2 linked regions of the Caenorhabditis elegans genome follow. The protein of the gene in region 1 interacts with the protein of each later gene in a pairwise test. Each region holds a gene or a part of one and is shown in the gene's direction. Other genes may lie near its edges.

Region 1 (4,307 bases):
GAAAAACTCGAACAAAAAAGACAGAGAATTAGATTTAATCGCTCAAAAAGTGACGACATGAAAATAATCGACCGGTCGATTTATTGTGTGAGAGGTAGAGACAGAGGAAAAAGAGAGAGAGAGAGTGGAGCTAAAAAATGTTATTAAGGAAAGTTAATAAAATTTTCAGAGTCCCTTATCAATAACATTTCCCTTTTTTACACTTTTACGCATCGAACTACGCACAATCTACAACCTACACGTGTAGGCAAACTATAATAGTTTGTGCATTTGAAATGAGCAGAGTTCGAGAATGTGCACAAACAGAAATGTTATCTGCCTTTTGTGTTTTTGACATTTTCAACTGTACTTCTTGTATGTTCTTGCGTCATAATTTGAATTGCATGTTCAGTAATTTCAAAAAATGCCAACTTCATGTTTTATCAAGCATGTTTCTCTCCCGCACTCTCATTTTTGCTTTGTTTTTGGTGTTCTCTAACTTAATGTGATGGTTCTCATTATTCTTCAAATCACATTCGTTGATGGTTATTGATACTTACTAATTCGGACTAATTTGCAATTTTACAAAAAAACGAAACAGAAAAAAAGGAAAATCGATAGTTCTTGCTATCTGGTTGAAGAAACACGTGCACTAATTCTCATATTTGCTTTTCTGCCTTGTCGACAAGGCTTTCCGAATTGAACCGTAAAATGGAGTGGTCTCTGGTTCACATGATTTTCTGAACCAAGCAGAATCACTTCAAAGATTATTAATCGTTTTTATTGGTTTGTCAAAAGTTACTACTCATTTTTTCAAACCTTAAAAATATACAAATTCGGAATTTAAGAGCTTTTTTGAATCTGTAGATTGCCAAAACTGATATTTAGTGAAAAGTAGAAAAAAATAATTTGAAAAATACAGAAAATGCATCGAAGGAAATATTATTTGTTCACATTCATATCTAAAAATGTCAGAAAACTTATTTAGGGTAAATAGAACATATTAAAGACGTACGACTTTTCCAGTAGCTAGAGATTATTCTATTACCCGTATCCTAAAAACTTATTCTAAGAAATGATTTCTGATCACTCCATATGATTACTTGATTTCTTAAACTTGCACTACAAAGAACGTTTGTTTTCACTACAACAGCTTTAGAGCAAACATACTTCGTTTTCTTCTCTGGTTTCCCTAAATCACGAATTATTACATAAACTTTATTCACTGTAATTAGACAATATCAAATTTAGGAATTCATCAAAAACAATATAAAAACATAGAAAACGATGGACGATCATTTACAAAAAGTACATGAAACTGATCAGTTCTTGTTTCTATCTCTCTGTCTTTTGCACTCTGCGTCTCTCTTTGCCAATCTCTATCCAATTTCATCTATTCACAAGTCTCCCTTCGCAGTCTATTTATCCATTTTATTCTGTCTGTTCGCATTTTTTCTATTCCGTTTTTGATGGTTATTGATATAGACTTTTTCAAATTGCAATTAAAGAAACAAAAAATTAGTTAAAAATGTCACGAAAGTGACCAACAAGAAGTTTGTAGTGTACGTAATAAGTGAAAATCAATAATGCCTGTTATCGGTGGGCAAGAAAGCACGTGCAATTGCCCCTTTTTTGTGTTTGTTCACACTTCAAAATGGTATTTCCCTCGTTGAACCTCTCTTGTTAGTTTTTATCGGTTTCAAACAAAATGTTCAAATTTTCCAGATGACCAGACAAACTACGTCGCAAACTTGCTTGATCTGTGGAGATTCTGCTGATTCTCTCCATTTTGGGGCATTGTCATGCAGGTAAGTGTGAAATAAATACTAATTCTTATAGATCTTTTTATTTTGGCTTACGTACTTGCTAATATCATTTCGTAGATTGGTAGGAACCCAAATAAGCACGATGAAGGCGTAGATCACCCAGAACGCTGACTATTTGTGCCCAAATGACAGTCATAGTTGTTAATTGTTCAAAAACTGTACACTTTCTAAACCTGATTTATTTCCAATTATACTGTTCTACGCTTTAAAAATAGACGAAATTTTGCTGATAAATTCGAAAAACTTTCAAATTGGGTGTTACTATCAATAAACTACAGTATGCAAAAAATTGTTCCTTCAAAAACTGTCAGATTAAAAATTTAGTTTATTAAAATATTTCCAGTTTTGAATGTAGGGTTTTTCCCATCAAAAAGCCAGAACTTGATTTTGCTAAAACTTCTAAATCAGTTTTTATTTTCAGAGCATGTGCCGCGTTTTTCCGTAGGAAGGTGGCCGGTCGCCGAAATATTTTTCGACGTTGTGATCGTCAATGCAAAGTTGACACCGGGATGAGGAAACTGTGTGCCAGCTGTCGATATGACAAGTGCTTAAAAGTTGGAATGAGAGAATCAGCGGTACTTTCAAGACTTGCAAAGAAGAATCAGAATTATAAGAAATCAATTGTTGGGTCGCCGGATGCATATGAGCCATCTACCTCAACGTCTGACAGTGTTTTGGAGAATCTTCAAAGTGCTTATCACAAACTTGAAGAAACGAGAAAACGAGTTTTTAACATTTCTGTAAGTTTTAAAGTGATAGTTTATTCGAATTTTAAGAATATTCAGGAAACACACGTCTCCCAATGTTGCAATTACAAGCGAATGAATGACGTGTTCTTTGAAGACATAAAATTAGTAATGGAGCATTTGTTGGAGACATTCAAAAAATCAGATATTTCACAGGAACAGGAAGTATTAATTTTACTTTTTATTTACTCAATGTTGAAAAATTTTTTATCTAGAAAAATTGAAAATTTTCCTATTCAAATTGTCACAATTCTAGAAGCTCCTTTGCGTACACTTCATGGTTCCATTCATTCTCTTTGAAGGTGGTTACAAATCCACAAGTGAGTTATTTTTAAACAATACATCTTTAAATTTGTCTGAAATTTCAGACAGTGACTTATTCTACCTGCCAAGTGGAGATTTCATTGATGAGAACAGAATCGAAGAGTACTACAGTAATCCGGATGACCAAAATGATAATAGCGCAAAATCTGCTGCGGAGTAAGTTTTACTTGTAGTGCTCCCAGTGCTTATATTTTGAATTTGCAGAGTTTTTCGACCCTACTGGAAGTTAAACAAGCAAACGCTCAAGACCCATTTAGATGATGTTCAGCTGGATCTTCCCGAATTTTTGTTCATCACTGCGTTAATATATTTCGATGATGGTATGTTTCAGCTGTTATCTAAAATTTAATAAAAAATTTATTTCAGGACTCCTAGACCAAAACGAAGAATGTATTGAAGTTTGCAAACAGATGAAAGCAAAAATAATCGAAGAACTGACTGATTACGAGAAAAACGTTCGGATCAACGAAGATCATTCGTATCGAGTTGGTCAGATTATAATGGTTCTACACGGTATTCAACGTACCATGAACATGATTCACGAGACAAAGGAGATTTCATTGGTGTATAATGTTTATGATATGCATTCCAGTATTTTTGGAAATATGGCAGAATAGATCTAGTGTATAAACTTTTGATGATTAATGAACTTTTCAAGAAATATATTATGTTCGAGGGAGCGTTAAATTTTGATTTGAAAGTTGATAAAAAGATAACGGCGTAAATTCATTTTGTGACTTATGGCTAAAAATTTTAATGTGCATTTTTTGATCTACAGCTGCTGTGAAAAATAGAAATAGAGAAAACTCACTGGTTTTCATTGCTGCCAGCCTGTGCCAGGTCTGCACGGAAAACATCAATGGAAAAATTCCAATAATTAAAAATGGCCAAGAAATATTACGCAATGGGAATTTCGACTATTGCCCAATTCTAGTTGTAAAAAATTCTTTTTTGAAATTGATCCTAAATTACCAAATTTTGTAACACTTCACACTTTACAAGCTATTTGAAAATGTTCGCTTAATATTTGGTCAACTGCCAAGTTTACAATATGTTTGCAATATATTTTAGTTTACAATATAGTTTACAATACAATATTACAATTTATAATACAATAATAACAATGTGTGTTTTTTTACAAATGTTGAACAGCGTCCCATTTTTTAATCCCTATAATGTTTAAATAAAGATACTTGGAACAAAGTAAAAAAAAAACACTTTTGCAAATAAAAAATAGCAAAAAAAAGGGGGTTTTTTTTTAAATATTTTTTCAAATACTATTTGGGCGTTTGTAGAGCTATAGAAATAGTTTCAAGTTGTCAAACTGTCTTGAACTTTAACAAGATGTAAAATGTTCACATATGAAACATCCATGAATATTCGAGATGTTTACCGCTGTGTTTGTGGTTTATTAAGTTTTTTTTTTCAATTT
Region 2 (4,655 bases), on another chromosome or scaffold:
TAATCCACCGCGAAATTTGCTTGCATCGGAAGAAGATAACTTGCCAGTCCTTTTCAATTAACCATTTGATTTTCTGATTGCCTCACAATGATTTCTGCTGTAATTTTAATTTTTTCGGATTACGGTAGGAACTCATTTGACCACTAGTCTCTTATCATTATTTGTAATCAGATCCCCCTTCCTTCCCCTCATCCAACACCCTCCGATGTTCTTCCTGTTTTCTATGTGGTTTCTTCTCGTATAGATTGACAAACATTCCATTAATTTTCCCGTATGCAAGAACAATCGATTCTGTGAATATGTACTCCAACCATTTTCTTTTAAAACTTAAAAATTCCTAACATTTTCCTGCTTCCATTTTCCATTTAGACTCGTGATGTTATCGTAGTAAAGGTTTGTAAATGAAATCTTCAGTAAATAAGAATTTCCACCGCGGTAAGTTGTTTCCTAATTATTTATTTGTTCAGAAAAAGAGCCGTTATTGAATTATGTCGTCGTCGACTGAAAGTGACACTGTGAGCAAGAGAAGAGCCATTTATAATTGCGTTTTTGGAAAGTGGTTTGAGTGGTGTCGTGTGGTCTAAAATATTGAAGATACGAAAATTAAAGTGTGAGAGACGGAGAGGCTCGTTATTCGTGTGAAGAGCCCTTCTATTCACAATTTGTTCGGCAGAACATTTTCCTTGCCTATTCTCTAAATTTCGATATGGGTTTCTATGTAATGTCATCTTCTTGAAATTCTGAATTTGTATTAGTGCACTTAGATATGGGGCGGATTCTTAATTAAGATTAATTAAATACCACTTAAAAAATTTTCAATTTTTTAATTTTCAAAAAGTTTCATAAATTTCTTAATTTATTTTTTTATAATCCATTAATCCTCTTCACTCACTCTGTTTGTGCTCTTCTTCTACTCATTCTCATCCTTCTTTTTGGCCCTTCAATGACATATCCCATTTCGGTTTCCCTTCCTCTTTTTCTCTTTTTCTCTTCTACACTTCTGCCTCTTTTCGTCGGTTTCTCTCACTCTTTCAGGCATTTGACTGACGTTTTTAAATGTGGCTCTTGCTCATTGAGCATCTCGCTCCACGTTACATATAATTTGCTGAAAAGTGAGCTATAATAGTTTCTTACAATTTTTGATAAGTTTTATTTCTCAAAAAAAATAGAAAACTTGTTTGAACAGTTCATAGAAACCTAAATATCACTTTCTTATTTAATTGAAATTGTGAGCCTAAATCTAAATTTAGAAATTTCAAATTCGTATAGCTGAATTTTCTGATTTCAAGTATCTTTGTTTTGGTTCCAAAAACTCTCATTTGGGTAATGAGCACAACACTGAGCGAGTAAAAGTAACGAGCACAACCCAAAAAAAACATTTTTTTTCAAAGTTTTGGTAAATTGCCACATTTTCAAAAAATGAGATTCGAACCCGTAGAATGTTTGATTACGAGCTGATTGAAACGCAAATTAATTGTTACAATTTTATTTATTTTTTAATTGAGTTTCAATTTTATGTAATTAAAGTTTAAAGGGGTTCTACAGTAATCCTCGAAATTATTCAAAAATCCCACATTTCGGGAAAATTTTGAAATTTTTGGTCGACTTACAAAATTATTAACTTGGCCACTTTTTGTCAAAAATTAAAAAATTGTTTTGAAAGGTTTTACCATGATATCTTGGCATATTAGAACTTGTAAAGATAATTTCCCTTTAGATAAAGAAAAGTTTTTAATGCCCTTTTATTTTCTTTACTTTAAAATTGTATTGTTTCGGATTTCATGTTCCTGTCAAAAACACAAAAACAACAAAGAATTGATTTTAGGCGCGCGACTCTCTTGACAGATTCGGGAGACACAGACGGTTAGGAGTCTCTCGTTCGTGTTCATTTCTTCTCTCATTCGTTCATATTGCTTCGGCCGAAGCCTTCGGGATAGAGTTGCCACCTCGTGATAATCAAAATTGGCTTTACCCGTTTTGAATGTTATTGGCAATAATTGTGATCTTTGAATAATCTCAGTTTTGACCCAATTATATTATTTTTAATCTTAAAATCATGCGTAAAACTTCGTGTACATAAATACTCAAGAAAAATTTTAAAAATTGAAAATTAATTTCAGGAGACATGTCGCTCCTCTTCGATCCGGGGTTTGTTATCCTTCGGGAGGACCAAAGTGTGAAACTCTTCAACATAATTCTCGTTATGTCTCAAGTATTCGGAGGGCTCGCCGTTCTTCTGGTTACCATTTGGATGAGCAAGTTTGAAAGTGGATTCGCATGGAATGAGGATCCTGATAAGGAATTCAACTATCATCCGACTTTTATGATTATGGGAATGGTTTTCCTTTTTGGAGAGGCTCTTCTCGTTTATCGTGTATTCCGTAATGAAAGAAAGAAATTCAGTAAAACTCTTCATGTTATTCTTCATTCGTGTGTTCTTGTCTTCATGCTTATGGCACTTAAAGCAGTTTTTGACTACCATAACCTTCACAAGGATCCATCTGGAAATCCAGCACCAATTGTCAATTTGGTTTCTTTACATTCATGGATTGGCCTATCCGTTGTCATTCTCTACTTTGCACAATACATCGTCGGATTCATCACCTACTTCTTCCCGGGAATGCCAATTCCGATTCGTCAACTCGTTATGCCATTCCATCAAATGTTCGGTGTGCTCATCTTCATTTTTGTCTCGATTACTGTAGCCATGGGAATTTCGGAAAGAGCAGCATGGAAGCATACGTAAGATTTATGTTATTATTACGGAGACGCTAAAATTTTCGATTTTTTTGCCGGTCTCGACACGACAAATTTATTAATACGAAAAGGCCGTGGGCCTTTAAAGAGTACTGTAATCTCAAACCCTGCAGAATTTTTTTTCACGGCAAACCGGCAAACTTAATGTGATTTTACTGTGAAAAATCGATGTAAATTCCGCAACAAGAAGTCACATAAATTTTTGCATTTGACGAACAATTGTCGTGTCGAGACCGGATACCGTATTTTTTAGCGCAAAAATCGTAAAATTTCGAGAAAAAAGAAGAAAATTTATATCAAAAAAATCGCTGGAAAAATTGACTTTTTTTTGGATTCAGGGTTGGAATTCAGTTATAATGATTCAGCTTAATCTGAAACAAAAAACTTTTTCTACGAAAACGCTCACTTTTTTTGAAAAAAGCGTTATTTTTTCACCAAAAAACAAGTAATTCCAAGATCTAAAAGTTAATATATTTAAATAAATTATTTTTTCAGTTGCTGGACTAAAGAAGGTCAAATGTGTGCTCAACAAGCAACATCTTCATTCGTCGGAGTCTTCACTTTCCTATACACTGTCTGTGTTCTCCTTCTTGTATTGAATCCACGTTGGAAGCGTCAATCACTTCCTGAAGAAGAAGGACTTCATCATTTGACTTCCAGTCATTCCATGTCTGATTAATTGTCTTCTGGGTGTCGAAAAATCTAAAATTTTCATTTTTTCGAATAATTTTTTAATGTCTGTTTAGTTTTTTGAACATTTTGTTTTCGGAAAATCGAAAATTTTTCGACGACACCCTTGCTCCCAGTGACCAGGAATGGGTGGCGATTCTACAAAATTACCTATTGCACCATGTTGTTCCAACATTTTCATCAAAAATTTGTGTCGCACTATAGAGAATCACATGATTTATCTGGAATTTACAATAATTTCATCTAAAAACTGATAAAAAATGGCCTAAAAGTTGCCAATTGCCGGAAAACAAAACTCGTTAATTCGGTAATCCGCAATCGAGAATTTTCAGGCCCTTTTTGGTAACTTTTTAGCAGAAATTATTGTTTTTTTTAGATAATGTTGGAAAAACATGGCGCAATAAGTAATTTTTGTAGAATTGTCGCCTATCCTTGCCCCGTTGTCCCATATCCCCCGTATTTATTTATTTCTACAATTTTACGATCTCATCTCTCCATGTTCACTAATTGCCTAATCAAATTTCTATCTGAATGCATCGAGCCTATATAAATTCAGAAATAAATATTTATGCACCTGTTAAAACCGAAGTTAAAATGCAAATGAAACAAAAAATTGGGCTGAAAGTTAAATAACCGTAAAATAAATAAGTATTATAAAATCGGGGAGAAATAAACGAATAACCAGTACTAGAATTGATACAAATATACAGTTACATATTGTAGTGAGATAATACACATTTTAAGAGATCGAATAGTAATAATGAGAATGTTATATGACAAATTAAATGTCTCCTTGACTTGAAAGTGACCGCATTCTTTTCTGTCGTCGACGTGGAGAAAGAACTGGAATTTGTGATCTTTGTATCTTTTACTTTTAGTTATTCAAAACATATATATCAAAACAAACACTCGAATTAAGGCCAATTTATTCAATTAACTAAAGGTTGACTGAGAGAATGAGGAAGTTCCTTATGATTTATTTCATGTTTTTCAGTGCGCCTAAGACATAAAACATGTGATTATGGATGGTATAAATTCAGAGGAAATGTTCAATATTTTCAAATTATTCACTTGAAAACTTCAACTTGGCAATAATGAGAATTGTATCTTTCGTAAGTTTAAAAAAATTATTTTACCTAAAGGTGACCCCAAAAGGTTAATTTAAAATTTCGAAAAAAAAAACGTCCTAATTCTAGCTAAAACATCAA

Evidence for each region.
Region 2: the proteins of nhr-42 (region 1) and F55H2.5 interact in a two-hybrid assay, tested with the Caenorhabditis elegans proteins (one large-scale study listed by BioGRID).

The regions. Positions count from the first base shown.
Region 1 is NC_003283.11:6,997,115-7,001,421, forward strand, and holds nhr-42 (Nuclear hormone receptor family member nhr-42), read left to right. Parts: upstream 1-1,704; coding exon 1,705-1,787; intron 1,788-2,226; coding exon 2,227-2,545; intron 2,546-2,590; coding exon 2,591-2,716; intron 2,717-2,807; coding exon 2,808-2,871; intron 2,872-2,919; coding exon 2,920-3,031; intron 3,032-3,079; coding exon 3,080-3,195; intron 3,196-3,241; coding exon 3,242-3,492; 3' UTR 3,493-3,537; downstream 3,538-4,307. UniProt on the Caenorhabditis elegans protein: Orphan nuclear receptor.
Region 2 is NC_003281.10:9,509,350-9,514,004, forward strand, and holds F55H2.5 (Putative transmembrane ascorbate-dependent reductase CYB561 homolog), read left to right. Parts: upstream 1-2,120; 5' UTR 2,121-2,125; coding exon 2,126-2,742; intron 2,743-3,252; coding exon 3,253-3,436; 3' UTR 3,437-4,026; downstream 4,027-4,655. Other genes in the region: vha-14 (V-type proton ATPase subunit D), read left to right, coding at 1-61; F55H2.7 (uncharacterized protein), read right to left, coding at 4,229-4,290; F55H2.8 (FIP (Fungus-Induced Protein) Related), read left to right, coding at 4,542-4,559. UniProt on the Caenorhabditis elegans protein: Putative transmembrane reductase that uses ascorbate as an electron donor in the cytoplasm and transfers electrons across membranes to reduce monodehydro-L-ascorbate radical in the lumen of secretory vesicles.